2 linked regions of the Styela clava genome follow. The protein of the gene in region 1 purifies or fractionates together with the protein of each later gene. This does not show direct contact. Links are inferred from orthologs where the notes say so. Each region holds a gene or a part of one and is shown on either strand. Other genes may lie near its edges.

Evidence for each region.
Region 2: the proteins of non-lysosomal glucosylceramidase-like (region 1) and 2-hydroxyacyl-CoA lyase 2-like purify together in Homo sapiens (co-immunoprecipitation; 3 studies listed by BioGRID and IntAct, counting the BioPlex papers as one, with this or other methods). This does not show direct contact. The link is inferred for Styela clava from reciprocal best matches to the Homo sapiens genes GBA2 and HACL2.

The regions. Positions count from the first base shown.
Region 1 is NC_135262.1:10,354,472-10,362,171, forward strand, and holds the start of non-lysosomal glucosylceramidase-like, read right to left. Parts: upstream 3,023-7,700; 5' UTR 2,931-3,022; coding exon 306-2,930; 3' UTR 1-305. UniProt on the Homo sapiens protein: Non-lysosomal glucosylceramidase that catalyzes the hydrolysis of glucosylceramides/GlcCers (such as beta-D-glucosyl-(1<->1')-N-acylsphing-4-enine) to free glucose and ceramides (such as N-acylsphing-4-enine).
Region 2 is NC_135258.1:4,954,001-4,961,912, forward strand, and holds the start of 2-hydroxyacyl-CoA lyase 2-like, read right to left. Parts: upstream 3,011-7,912; 5' UTR 2,865-3,010; intron 2,760-2,864; 5' UTR 2,670-2,759; coding exon 2,535-2,669; intron 1,439-2,534; coding exon 1,237-1,438; intron 602-1,236; coding exon 473-601; intron 223-472; coding exon 85-222; intron 1-84. UniProt on the Homo sapiens protein: Endoplasmic reticulum 2-OH acyl-CoA lyase involved in the cleavage (C1 removal) reaction in the fatty acid alpha-oxydation in a thiamine pyrophosphate (TPP)-dependent manner. Involved in the phytosphingosine degradation pathway.

The DNA.
Region 1 (7,700 bases):
AATATTCAAAACGAAATTATTTGCAAAAAATGCTTCACTATCACATGAAAAAGACATTCATAATTCATTGGAATGTGTAATTCACTAAGTGTTACTTTCATATTGGAAAAAGGTAGAAATAACAATGCCATAATTATAGTCATTGGACAAGCGAAAGAAGGAAAAAAATGCTGATCACTGACCAAAGAAACTGACCTTCAAATAATGAAGAATCAAATGAAAAGGTTATACTACAAAAAGTAATGACATTATAAATAACAGTAAATTTTTTTTAGTTTAAAAACCTTTGCCAAAATAATTAAAGCTTATTCTGAAGCAATGTCATCATTGTCTGTGTTTTCCAGTGCATATTGCATGCCCCATATACTTAATGGGCGCATGTACGCTAGAGATCGGTAATGATTGTGTTTCAAAATCGCTTCTGGTGTTTGAAATGCCATACCAGTCTCTTCCCAAACACTTTTATACATTCCTTGGGCCGTTTTGAAACCTTCTTTCAACATTCCCTTATGAAGCATCGTTGCCGCAACAGCATATGTTACCCCAGTCCAAACTTCATCTGACTGAACGCTCGATTGATCAACTTTCCCGTTTGGTCTCATTCCGTTTACTGCGCCCCGTCTTCCATCAGCAAACAATTCCACATTAAAGTTATAAACTTTTCTCAAGCAGCTAAGAATTTTATCTCCTGGTATGACATCAGCTATTCCCGCAGCAAGTAAATACCACTGACCTGCACATTGGTCAGCCATAATGCTGTCACTATGATTGCTGTGTTTATTGCTATCATAATTAAAATATTCACCATTCCATAACTTTTTGTCGTAAGCCTTGGTGGCTCTTTCTAAAATTTCCTTGTATTTTAAACTATCTTCTTGTCGGTCCAAGATATTTGCTGCCTCGATGGTACATCGCAATGCGGCAATCCATAAACCACCGCAATACGCACTTGGACCAGTGACACTCCAACCATCAAAAGTTTGATCTGCGGTTCCACCATTTTCAATAAGACCATCTCCGTCTTTATCATGTTTCATGCTCATTTCCATAACTGTCAAACAAACTGGCCACATGTCCTCAAGAAATTTACGATTTTTTGTGATGTGGTAATCTCGAAAAACTTGCAAAACAAACTTAGGATTTAAATCTTTCCAAGATGCTGTATCGTGAACAAAATACGCATTAACTCTCGTCCAAGGTTCATCTTCAGGATCCCCAACATCATGTGGAACCACTCCTGTCGTTTTAACAGGTTTTCTATGACCATCCATTATAAAACGAAATCGTGTATCATCAGCCCTTAGAATACTTGTAGCAATATCATACTGTAAGCTTAGCTCAAGCTTGGGCCATAATGCAGCAAGAGCTATCGATGCATAAAAATGAACGTCATATGTATTGAACATCCTATATTCTTGGCCTTCAAGATACGCAAATCTTCCAAATTCTTTTAAAATTTCACTGTTTTGGAGATGATCCACATCTGTTTCTTTTGATGCATTGTGCTTATTTATATGATTTGAAATGCTAATTGATTCTGTATCAGTTTTATCTATTTCAAGCCAAATTGTCCCTCCATCACTGATGTAATACAACTCGTTGAATATGGCAGATTTGTACCACAGTGGTAAGCGGGAATTTGACAGAATTGGTTCTTGCCATGATCGTATTTTTTCTTCCCAATCTTGATAGTTTTGAAGGGCATACAACGCAATTTTGGGTCCAGCGTTACCAGATGCACCAAAGAAACGAGTATATCGACGGCGGTGAGAAATTTCCTTTGAACCAAAATATACTATTGGCATATCCCAGGATAAAACAAAATCAACATTTTTTTGAAGAGTTTTTGATTTTACAGTGGTTTCAACAGCAACTGCACAGGCAATAGATTCTCCACGAGAAGTATTTTCACTTATGTCATTTGTAGAATCAAAGTGGCCATGTTCATGCAATTCATTCCAAATTGTGGATCCATCTGAAGTTGGGTCAAAAGAAATGCATTTTGAAACTTTCATTTCTGGCTTATCAGATGCCGCAACTGTCATTGTGTACGGCATTTTCTCATATGTAAAGTTATGCATAACTACACCACTGCATTTTTTATCATCATCAAATTCTTCATTAAAATGTCCAGAATGATGTAGTCTTGATTTTTTTGTGCCATTACCATTTTCCATTGTCATAACAATGGATACTTCTAAATCACTTTCAGATTTATTTTCAATACTCCATGAAAAAACAGCGGCAGGAATACTCGAGTCCTTATATTCATTGGGAATTACAGGAGATACTTGTCTACAGGTTAATACAACTTTATGTTCTGGAATTTCATATACGGTCCACGCACGCGGATACAAAGCATGATAAAAAGCTTGGGAACCAGGAAACTCCCATTTCCAACTTTTTAGATGTTTCGCTGGGGTACTGTGAACACTTAAAACTTGTTGATATACAGTGGTTCCATTTTTACGAATACAAACAATAAATTGATTTGCCAATGTAGTTACAAACTCATAAACCCCCGGACGTAACTGCCATCGACAGAATTCACCCTGCCAGCCACGGTTGATTGACCCGCCCCCGATTCCTCCAAGAGGGACACCATAAATTTGTCGCAGTGGTTGTTGGTTGAAGAAATCCATGCATGGACGACGGTTAATACGCTTTAATTTACGATGAAATTTGATATAACGGTAAGAGAGTCCCACCAATGCTGGAACCTGGTGTATTTTTGGTACAGTCCATGGAGTACGTTTTTCTCTAAATTTATGACTGAGGGCGATTCTCCATCCATATTTGGGAACACCGTCTCCTTGGGATGAACCATTCCAAGTTGACATGAGTTCATTATCTTCAATTTTTTCATGTTCAATTTCCAGATTTTCTAGGGCTTTCCACCATGTTGGCTCACCCGCCTGCGGTTCTCCCATTACTCTCGTATTTTTTTTTTATAAACTTTATAAATCTGTATATATTAAACAACTATATTAATAGTGACCTAGAAAACTAACAAAGGCAAAAAGAAAAGTACATCATCAAAATAAATTTGCATCAATTAAATTCATAAAATCCTGGATATAGGAATGAACAGCTAAACGTCACAATTGTGTAGTTGAACCAGTAAACGGTTACGGCTTCCTCCACCTTCAAGTCCATGCTTCCGAAAAAATAAAATAACTAACTCATCCCATACCCGACATGGAATGGTAACCGGACGAGAGGCCGTGGTTCGCCATATGGATAAGCTGTCTTATCGGCTTTCCTCTCCCCCGGGATAAATATGTAAATCCTATCCTATCCTATCCTAACTATGCCACAATTCAATAAGCATATAAATTTAATTGGACTCAACTATCAAGGCGATAAAATCAACACTCACAAACTTCAGAACTTGCAAACCACAGAAATATATTATTGTACAATACGGACAAACAATTGTCGTTCGTGGGCCAAAATTAAAGGTTGCGAGACGCACATATTTTTAGAAAGTTAAAAACCAAAGGAATGGCCAATGAATCTCATTTTTTCACACAAATCTCAGTTAAAGTACAAGCAGTGGGTGAAGAATGATCATTTGAATATTTTCTGCGTCATTAAACCATTTGCACTCAGCAATCAGCATTAATTTTTTTACGTTGTGTTGCCATTTGTCTAATTATAATCAATTGTAGGCTCATTAAACGAGTGATTGTGAATTATATTCTTGTTAGGTTATAATATAATTCAGTGTTTCAAAACAAATTCTGTCACTGACATAAAGAATATATTCATCAATACAGCTGTTTTGTTAATATAATTCAGTGAAGCGCTGCGGGCTGGATTATATTGCTCCGGGCCGTAGTTTGCCGACTCCTGCCGTACTGTATTCAGGTATTAGGTAGCCTACCAAACTGTATTGAAAAAAGATATATATATTTACTAATTCTTACTAAATTATACCGGTACCAGAACCCAAAATTCGTTCCATCCAAATTTCGGATGGTGTAGTCAGGGGGTCTCGTGTAGTTTCGTACCTAACGTACTTCTAGTGGGCGTAGCATAACCATTTTTTGATATGTCAACCATAACCCCCATCTGACTACGCCACCAAAAAATTACGTCACTACGACATCACAATCACGTCATAGAGCTTGCCAAATATACGTACAATCGCCCGAAATGGCATTGGCGCCGACGATAAAGTACTGACTGACGTTATCGATCTCTCTCCTATTGTAATCGTTGTGACGAGAAAACGAGAGAAATAACTGTTCGATTTCGGGCACTCGTTTGCGCCTCTTGGATGGTAGTTCGTATAGTTTGAAGGGCTCTATCACGTCACTGTGACGTCGTGTTGACGTCATTTTTGGATGATGTAGTCGGGTGGGGGTTAGGATTGATACGTGAAAAAATTGTCATGCTACGCGCACTAGAAGTATGTTAGGTACGAAACTACGTGATTGTGATGTCGTAGTGATTTAATTTTTGGATGGCGTAATCAAATGGGGGTTAGGATTGACATATCAAAAAATTGTTATGCTTCGCCCACTAGAAGTACGTTAGGTACGAAACTACGCGAGATCCGAAATCGCATCCTACAAAGAACCCGGAAACTGGTAAAACTTATGGGTCTAGTATAGTTTAGTACCACAAGTAGGTACCTCCAGTGGGTGTAGCATACCGAATTTTGCATATGTTATTCCTAACCCCCACCTGACTATGCCATCTAAAAATTACGTCACTACGACGTCACCATCACGTCATATGGCTTGCCAAAGTATAATTACAATCGCCCGAAATGGTATCCGCGCCGCCGATAACAAACTCGCTAACGCCGACGATCTCTCTCCTATGGTGATCGTTGTGACAAAAAAACGAGAGAAATAGCTTGCTCGATTTCGGGTGATCGTCTGCGCGTTTTGGACGACCATCCGCATACTTCGGTGGGTTTTATTACGCCACTGTGACGTCCAAATGACGTAATTTTTCGGTGACATAGTCAGGTGGGGGTTAGGATTGACATATACAAAAATTGTTGAGCCAGGCCAACTAGAAGTATATGTGGTACTAAACTATACCAGACCCAAACCTATTACCTGGCGCGGCGGTGTGGCTCAACGGGCTAAGCGTTAGGAATACGCTCGCCACCGCACCTCTAATTACTCTGCGTGGGTTCGCAGGTTCGAATCCCATGCAGGGATGGTTATGTGCGAGAGGATTGCTGGACTCCTCGCCGTCGTTGGGTGGTTCACGTAACCGCTGGTCGGTTACGGCTTCCTCCACCACCAAGTCCATGCTTCCGAAAACAAACAATACAGTAAAACTAATCCCATACCCGACTTGGAATGGTAACCGGACGAGAGGCCGTGTTTCGCCATATGGATACGCCCTCTTAGGCTTTCCTCTCCCCCGGGATAAATATGTAAATCCTATCCTATCCTACCTCAAAAACAAAGAACCGAACTTTCCCTATCGCTGAAAAGGACTGTCGAGAAGGCCACACGGTTCAGGACTTGTGAAGACACGGTACCCTCGGTACGGTACGTTTCTCCACAAAATTGTGCGTATCAACGTCATTCAATTCCTCGGAGTTCTGGTTGGGGTTGGGTTGCAATCAACAACTAACATGTTTTGACTGAGTAAGAAATAAACCACATGTGAAATCGGAAAATCATGTCATTGATTGTAGCCTACTCACATATGCAGCTTTATTGAAGTAATTATGGGACTGGTGGATTTTGCTGTAATTGGGAAGGAAAATGATCGCTTTGCCTAATGGTTATGGTTAACTCATTTATGTTGTTATTGGGTGATTATTTAGTTGCTAGTGAAAATATTTCCCTCCGGAACTAATCGACCATTTGATTAAAAAAACTCATTACTTTAAGATGAAAAAATTTCCTGGGAAGGTATTACTTCCATTTTTAAAATTTCCTCCCAATCCTATGATCCCCAATATTTCACACAAAATTTTGGTGTCTCGCACGTCCACCGATATTTTCAACAAACTCTTTGCTATAACGGTTCACAGTACCGATACCGAAGGAAGTTTCGTGTCTATATATTTGAGCATTACTTTCTTGTTAATCAAGATCGCTCGCGCACTGAAAGAGGTATTGATCATAATGAATTCCATTGAAGATTTGTTTGGTTACGATTCTTATTGTTAGTCAAGTTGGTCATCGTTTCATTAATTCCCTAAACTGAATTTTAATCATTGTATAGCTTTTTTAAATACTGCTGTTCATATTTTCATTAATGCAAAAAGGTCGTTTATAAATTGATATTATTATTATGTGATATCAACATGGCATCTAAAAATGATTGTGCTACTCATTGTTTCTAGAATTGTAAGTGAAAAGTGGGATAAAAGACACATTTGCTAAATTTAGAGGCGGTTTGAAATTCACAAAATATATTGAAGGATGCTGTATGAGATATAAAAAAAAAAATTAGCCGATAACGTTACTGAAGCGACAGACGAAGCATGCTATACCAAAGTTAAATTGAATCTGAAAAAAATTAACAAGAACATATATATATAGGCCTTCAATGAAAATGTCATGGGGAAAATTAAAACTTTTATCAAAAAAATACCCATCAATTGACTTCAATTAGTATACAGGGTGTCTATAAAGTATCTTTATAATTTAAAATATGGTATTTAATGGATATTTGATGATGATTTTTTATAACATCGTATCGCATGGCGGTGTAGTCCAGGAGTCCGCAACTACTTTTCAGCGCGACCCATTTTTTTTTTTATAATTTCTCGCGACCCAAGCATTTGGTAAACATGTAAATAGTTATCGATTTTAAGTCTATTATTGACACTAGCAATTTTCTTGTACAAAATTATCACATAAAATCGTGAATAATAGCGTTTATTATGACTAACGCGAATTATTAGCTTTGTGTTTTGAACACAACATAGAAATTCGACGTTTAATTTGGGAGACAGCAACTCGAAGATCTTCTTCTACTTGTAGCCTTGATCTGTATTTGTTTTTTATGTATGAAAACGCAGAAAAGGTCTTTTCACATAATTCCGAATAATTCAAAATCCAGTAGTTCCGAACGAATGGCAACAGAACATTCATTGCAGCAGCTGATAACTCCGGCCATCAAATGCGATCTTCAACCCGCGATAACTTGACAAGTCATCCAATGCTTCAATCAAATCTGATGATAGATGTTGTATATTGATACTGTGAAATGTGGTATTATCCAGTCGTATTGTGTTTTCCGTAAATATTTATTAAACCACTGCGAAAGATGTTGCGAACACAATTGTCTACGTCAGCGTTTCCCAAACTTTTTCAGCCATGGAACACTTACAATTTTGATCTCACCTCGCGGAACACCAAAAAATGAAACAGTAAATTGATAGAGAAAACCAGTGTAATGTAGCGGAGTTGCTGAATGCGTCGCGAAAACTAACAGAATTGTGTTAAACCTACCTAAAATATGATTGAATATTTTACATATTGCATTCATTATAACTGTTTTATTGTTTCCTAGTTTAAATGCTGTGTAAATGAATCAATTCATTCATTTTACCATTCTATGACGTTTACTTTTCATTACGTAATGTTTGCCTCTAATGTTACGTCTAATGGCAATAAAAGTACTTTCCGCAATTTCGCGAGCTGCAGACATGCCGTTTATTTATTTTCTGAATAGAGTTTACCGAAAATGATTAATTTTTTCAGCGTTTCAAA
Region 2 (7,912 bases), on another chromosome or scaffold:
ATTACTATAGATGATGGCATTGCTTATTAATTTCTCATGAAAATACTTTACTTTATTAATTAATTATTAACAATATACACATACCAGGAGTTCCAGACTGAGCACAAGCTATCGCCTGCCTCACAGTTGGTACGATATCTCGGATCCGTGTGACTCGAGCACAAAACTTGCAAAGTGGTTTGAACAAACTCATTTGATCAATATCTTGAAGAGCTCCTCGGCCTGTTTAAAAACAAAATTATTCAAAATTATTGAAACTAAGAAGATTTTTTTTAATTGAATCGAACATTTTCTAAATCAAGTCATAATATACATCCCCTCATTATAAGTACAAAATCCATTAATGAATGTGCAAATTATTTGTGTTCATAAATCTTAAAATTTTATAAAAGGGAATTAAAGATATAATGAGTAGTCTACTGACTTCATTATGGATACCCTGTACATTGAGAAATATCATAAGTCTAGTTACCTTTGAGCAATGTAGGTGCTGCACCTCCAATAAGGAGAATCGGAGATTCAGCCATTTGTGCATTCTTGACAGCGGTCACAGTGTTAGTGAGGCCCGGTCCAGCAGTTACTGCAGCTACACCAATGCGGCCTTGATAAATTGAAGAAAAAGATAATACATAACAACATAATTAAATTACATTTGCAATTTTAGCTAAAAGTTAAAAAATAGCAAAGACGATGGCGACAGCCATGAATCCACTTAGTGTAGCAATGGAGTGGTATTTTTCGAAGTTATTCACAAAAGCAGAATTCTAGACCGGGGGGGGGGGGGGTTGGATACAGGAGGGATAGATACAAATAACTGAGCGAAACTGTGAGCTGCACCTTTATTCAACATAAACTTTCTAGTAGTTGCAGAAATGTAGGCACGAAAAAATAGTTTCTTTTTGATATTAATCTTGTGACGTTATAAGGGGTCCTTGGAAAAATGATAAATCGAGACGCATAAATTTCTGAAGAAAACTACCATTTTTACTTATTCATTAGCGTCTTTCTTCATTAACTTTCCCTAAATTGCTCGCCGCTCAGCAAGTGACAGCTTTGTCAATCACATTGTTCGCATCACAAAAGCTAGGTGTAAGAGCATAATAAATTTTACTCTGGTATATTCCTTGCAACGCAAAAGGTTTGGAATTGCAACCATTTGAACTACCGGTATATTAAAAATTCAATCACAATCATGCAATCACAAAATTTAATCTTATCTTATAATTTAATCAGAACCTGATAATCTGGCAACAGCATCTGCTGCAAACACGGTTGTTACTTCATGTCTCGTATCGACGACTCTAATTCCCAATTTCTCCGCAGCTACTAGAATGGGTGAGATGTGACCTCCCACGAGTGTAAAAAGGAATTGCGTTCCATGATCTTTCAAAACCTGGGCTACAAGTTCCCCACCGTGCCGCTTGGATTCCTTTTCCACCTGTAAACATATTGAAATACTTTGAAAGGCAAAATGAACAAAGAACATGAATAACAATTTAACCGTGGTTGTAATTAGAGATTTTTATATTTAGACACAATTTTCATACTGATTGTGGGAGAAAAAAGATGCGAAAACTGTAGAGCAGTGGTTCTTCATTATTCAGTATTAGAGACAAATTTCAAGCGTCAAAAACAAACGCAAATCAGAATAGATACAAAACAGAAATCAACTAAGTGGTATAAAATCGAGTAAAAACCCAGTTACCACTGAACTTGGCTTAGATTTTTAATTCTGAAAAAGGAGCCGTAATTGTGATGGATGTATTCTTCCGAAATATAGATAGCAATAGCTAGCTCCATATTTTCATAATGCTATCTATTTCAATTTGAAAATACTTCTCATATAATAATTCTGCAGCAGGAATAAAATACCATACTATTGTACTATGCATGATTGTTCTGTTCTTGTCATTGTTGTAAACTGCTTGTCAGAGGAATGATTTTAGTCAGATGGAGCGATACAGCAATACATTAGTGTTACCAAGTCAGTGTTCGGCAGAGACTCTTGAATTGCATAGTGTAATATTTTATTCCTGCTACAGCATTATTCCATTATATGAATACAGGAATATGGATCCACTAGCACAAAGGCAGTGAGGAAAGATTGGGAGTTAGTCTCGTTAGAGCTAAGATCTGAAGCCCGAGCTGACCCCTGGACCCAGAATTCTGTTGCCTCATCAACACGACACATACCGTACCGGTACTGACATAGACTACTGCAGTAGGTACCGTAGGTACTAAACTCTTGCAATGACAATTCAATGAACTCCTGAATAAAATTTCGGGTTTGCTCCGGGCTCGGGCCTGCAAATCCAGTTTATTAGTCTGGTTTAATACCATACCCACGGGCCTGGATCGGGCTGGAATTTTTGGGCCAAATCTCACCTCTAAGTCCTGACTGCCTGAAGTCTCTTGTATCCTATACCTACCGTAACCTCTCTGATAGTGATATTTGCCTTACATCAACTTTTTTTTGATTCTTTTTACATTCTGTATTTCATTTATGGTGAGAAAATAAACTACTGATTACTTACCTTGTGAAAAAATTGATAAACAAGACCGAATTTCTGTACAAACAATGACGCACCAAATAATATTGCACCGACCAAAAATAAGACAACATTTTGTACTAATAGCTCCTGAAATATCCATTCCAGAGTGTCAGCCATGTTCAAATGTTCAATTCCGATGTTCCCAGTCTGTGAGATAGATGTAACGTTATATGTTTTCCAAAGCCTTTTTGCGCCAAAGAAACACAGCTGAAAGCAGAGAAAACTTGATCAAAGAATTGCACTGCCACACGGAGTCAAAACATATTCCAGATCCGACTACTAGAGCCGACAAATTCGCAAGGTTTTACTTACTTTTGACTTTCGTTCTTTGCTTCAACATAATTGAGCATTTCCAGATCGTATCGCATGGAGAAAAAGGTCACTCGGCCAGGCGCATCGTGCTAAGCGTTGGGAATACGCTCGTCACCGCAAGGTAACCGCGGGTCGGTTACGGGCTTACGGCCGTATTAAATATACGCTTTGGTTACGGATTCCTCCACCATCAAGTCCATGCTTCCGAAAACAATTAACTGGCTAACACTAACTAATCCCATATCTTACATGGACTGGTAACCGGACGAAAGACCGTGGTTTGCCATATGATTAAGTTGTCTTATCGGCTTTCTTGTCATGGAGGATGAATATGTAAATCCTATCCTATTCTAGGTTAACCTACGTTTTAGGATCAGAGCATCTTGAAAGAAACAGGTTTTAGCCATGAATGAGCCAATTTGCGAGATTTGATACCTAGTGTAAATTTAAGAAAAATCCGGTGGGCTCGAGGGTTAGTGCGTCGTGAGAGTTTGAAATGTAAAAGAGGGGGGACACCTCTTGCGGGGTGGGGTAGGAGGGGGTACTGGCCCCGCCCCACCTAATATATAAAATAAAATAGTGCTTAATTTAGGGTATTGTAAAACACTCACAGGGAAATCGTTCCTAACTACAAGAAGATAACTAGATTTTTCTAGGTCTTCGTTGGCTGTGAGTCCACTCTCCAAGCTAAAATATATGCAAACATTTAGTTAGGGACAGGCACAAAATAAATACGTTTTTATTAATATTCAAGATTCATTTTTTGGATCGAAATACTTGTGACAGGAAGAATCACAACATTTATGGAGTACCTACCACTGGTTTACGTGTGCTTGCCATGTGTCACTCTGCATTTTCATTGCTATTTGTAGTTTTGCTTTTTTGTGGCGATTGTCTTCCTTTTGCTTATCAAGCTGACGCTGGTTCTCCAACTCAATTTTTTCAAGCTCAAACTTGCGTTTTTTCTCTCTTTCTGTCCTTCGATCACCCTCTTCTTCTCGTTTTAACTTTTCTTTCTCTCGCCGTCTATTATTGCTGTTTTGATTCATTATTGCTGTTTTGATACATTATTGCTGTTTTGATTAAGATGATAGTTGAATAAATAGAAATATAATATAGATAACGCAACTGGTTTATGGATGTAACCTCTACAATTTGTGAATAGTATTAATAATTGTGCAGTGGGTGAACGAAGAGATGAACACGCCAAACAAGTCTAGTGTTCCTCCTGTACCACCAAAGCGCAAAAGTCCAACCGACCGACAGATGCGTTCAACTGCTAAAATGACTTCAACAATTGAAGTTGATGACATCACTAATCTGGTATCTGTACTGGAAGGTACAGTTTTGAAAACCTTTCGTCTTGAGATTCCTGCCATCATTGAGCAACATCTCGATAAATCTAGCTTCAATGTGACCCAGGACACCACCAATACCTTGAATTTGGAGGAGTCAATAACATCACTGACGGAGTCTATGAATGAGATCAAATAAGAATTATCATCTTTCCGTGAGATCAAGAACGAGATACACGAAATCAAAAAGAGTCAGGATTTTGTGTCAAAAAAATTTGATGAGCTCAGATCGAACCAAGACGAGCTCAATAAGATAGCAACGAAAACTAAAAAAAGAGTAGCGGAGCTGGAACAACTTGTGGAAGAACTAGAGGAGAAAGTTGACATACTCACAGAAAGGCAGCAAGATCAAGAGCGTCGCTCCAGGTTGGACAATTTGGAATTTCATAACATACCCTACACTAACGGGGAAGACTGTGAAAACCTAATTTCTAAAATTTGTAAGAAAATTGAAGTTCCTTTGCAATCCATTGATGTATCGAATTGCCACAGAATGTCGAAAAACAATAAAAAAAGACCATCTCCAATTATTGCCAAGTTTGTCAACAGAAAAACGAGAAACCGAATACTAATGAATCGTCGTAAACTGACATCTCTCGACATCTCTACAATATTTTCGAACTTTCCCAGAACCATCGAAGTATTCGTTGTAGAAAACCTCACAGACACAAACAAAGATTTGTTCTACAAAGCCAGGGAACTGAAACAAGAGTGCGGTTATAAATTCCTGTGGACCAACAATGTAAAAGTTCTCATAAAAAAAAATTCTAATACGGCTACCATCCCTATCATCACTGAAGACGACCTGCTCTCTATAAAGTAGGTCATTGTATTATAGTTATTTCTTATTAATTGATATTCTTATTAATCATTCATTCTGGTTCCATTTCTTATATTTCCATATACGTAAATGCCGAATCATTGTGATTATTTGTTAGATTATAGTGATAATGGTTCTAATAGTTTAAAATACCTAAATTCAAATAGTGGTTGTGATTGCAGCAACATTGAAGTAACTGATCTGAAAGATATCCAAACTAATTCGGGCTTGACAATTATCCACACTAATATTCGGTCAATTAGAAAAAATATTGATCAACTAACTACGTTATTGTCTAATTTATCTCCCTCCCCCCATATAATGGCAGTGAGCGAAACCAAATTAAATAGTAATAATTTTGATAATATAAGCATCGACGGTTATAGATTCGTACACACACCGTCTGCCTCCAAGGCAGGCGGAGTGGGTGCTTTCATCAGAAATGATATCAAATTTACAAAGTCTACTGAATATCATTTAAATTATATTAACTGTGAGGATATTTGGCTCGATATAGACTTGGAAAACATATCCAAAAGGTTGACCATTGGCATTATATATAAACAACCAAGAAACGATATTCCTGCTTTCACAAACATATTAGAAAACTGCCTCACCAAATTGACAAAAAAACATTTTATAATTGTGGGAGATCTCAACATAAATCTACTTGCAACAAGACCTTGTCCCCAAATCACCAATTATATTAATATGCTTGTTGCTCACAACACTATTTCTCTTATTACAAAGCCTACAAGGGTTACCAGAACCTCAAGGACACTCATAGATCATATATAGACCAACATGACTCACCTAAAATTAGATCCTTATGTTATATTATCCAACATCACTGATCACTTTCCTTTAATATGCTGTGTTAATGGCATCAAACCATCAACCAACAATGAGCTTGTCATGATAAGGGATATGTCTGCATTTTCCATTGATGCATTTCGGTCAGATACACACGACCTAATTAATAATCACTTTGCTGCGTTGGACTTGAATTCTCAAAATTTTGACACATTATTTGAAGAATTCACAAATTCTTTTGCTGCTCTAATCCACCGCCATGCGCCATTTAGACCGTTGTCGCGTCGTGAAAAAAAAATAAAACCCAAGCCATGGATTTCCAAAGGAATACTTATTAGTATTCGCTACAGGCGTAAGATGTTCAAAACCCACTACCTGAAGGGCAATAGTTCTCAATGCTCATTTTTTAAAAAGTATCGTAACTTACTGACTCATACAATTGACAATGCAAAGCAATTGTATTATCAAAACCTGATCGCTCAAAACAAAGGCAACCCAAAGTTTACATGGCGAATCGTTAATCAGATTACCTCCAGAAAGAATAAATTGAGGCATAATGTTGATGAAATTCATCTTGATAACGGCTGCATCATTAGGGATAGTCATTTCATAGTACAAGAATTCAACAAGTACTTTTCAACTGTTGGGTCCAGCCTCTCTGGTAAATTCTCTAATGATATGGTCGGTTTTAAAATGTATCTTGGCAAACGAATAAATCAATCCATATTTCTGAGTCCAGCTACAGTAATCGAATTGGCGACTGAAATTTTGAGTCTTAAGGCGGGTAAGGCAGTGGGGGTAGACAACATTCCCTGTCATTTCCTCAAGTATGCTGTGGACATCATATCTCCATGTCTAACAGAGTTTTTCAATAATTCCCTTCAATTTGGTATATTCCCATCTTCACTGAAGATAGCCAGAGTGGTTCCGATCTTTAAATCTGGCAATAAAAAACAGTTGTCAAACTATAGACCTATATCCATTCTATCTTCTATTGATAAAATATTTGAGCGTTTAATCCATAAAAGGCTAATGAACTTCTTTATAAAGCATGAGGTAATAAATAAATCTCAATTTGGTTTTCAAATTAAACATTCGACTTCGCATGCAATTTTAGATACAATATCCCATATCTATGATAAACTGGAAAAGAAGGAATATGTTAGCGCAACATTCTTAGATCTCAAAAAAGCTTTTGATACCGTTAATCATAAAATTTTAATCCACAAGCTATGGCACTATGGTATTCGAGGAGTGGCAAATAAACTCCTCGATAGTTACCTGACGAATAGATCTCAATATGTTCAAATGGGTAAATATTGTTCTCCGGCGTTACCTGTGACCCACGGCGTCCCACAGGGATCTTGCTTAGGACCGACTTTGTTTCTTATCTTCATCAATGACCTTTCTCGAAGCACCACACTTTTTTCCAAACTCTTCGCTGACGACACAAATCTTCTTGATAGTGACAAGTCTTCTGATATTCTTCAATCGAGAGTAAACACTGAAATAAATAAAGTAGCTAATTGGATGAAACTTAACAAACTAACTCTTAATGTTGACAAATCAAAGACCATGCTAATATCATCAATGAAACGAAAAACCAAGGTTACTTTAAAACTTGAAATTGGGGGCACTGTTCTTGAGAATGTCAATTCTTACAAATATTTAGGCATCCACCTTGACAGTAAAATGCAATGGGATATTCAAATATCCAACATTGTTGTTAAATTATCCAAGTCTATAGGGATGCTTTATAGACTTAGACGGTATGCTTCAATGTCAACATTACGCTTAGTTTATTACGCCTTGTGTCAGTCCCATATTCAATATGGCATCGTAGCTTGGGGATCAGCTAACAAAACTTTATTACATCGCATTGAAATAATGCAAAACAGGGCAATTCGTGCACTTACTAATGCCGGACCTCGATCAAAATTAGACTCCCATTATCATAAAATGCAAATAATTAAAATGGCAGATATCTATAAAATTGAAGTACTAAAATTTATGCATCAGCATCAGAATAATGAACTGCCTATTGCGTTCACTAATTATTT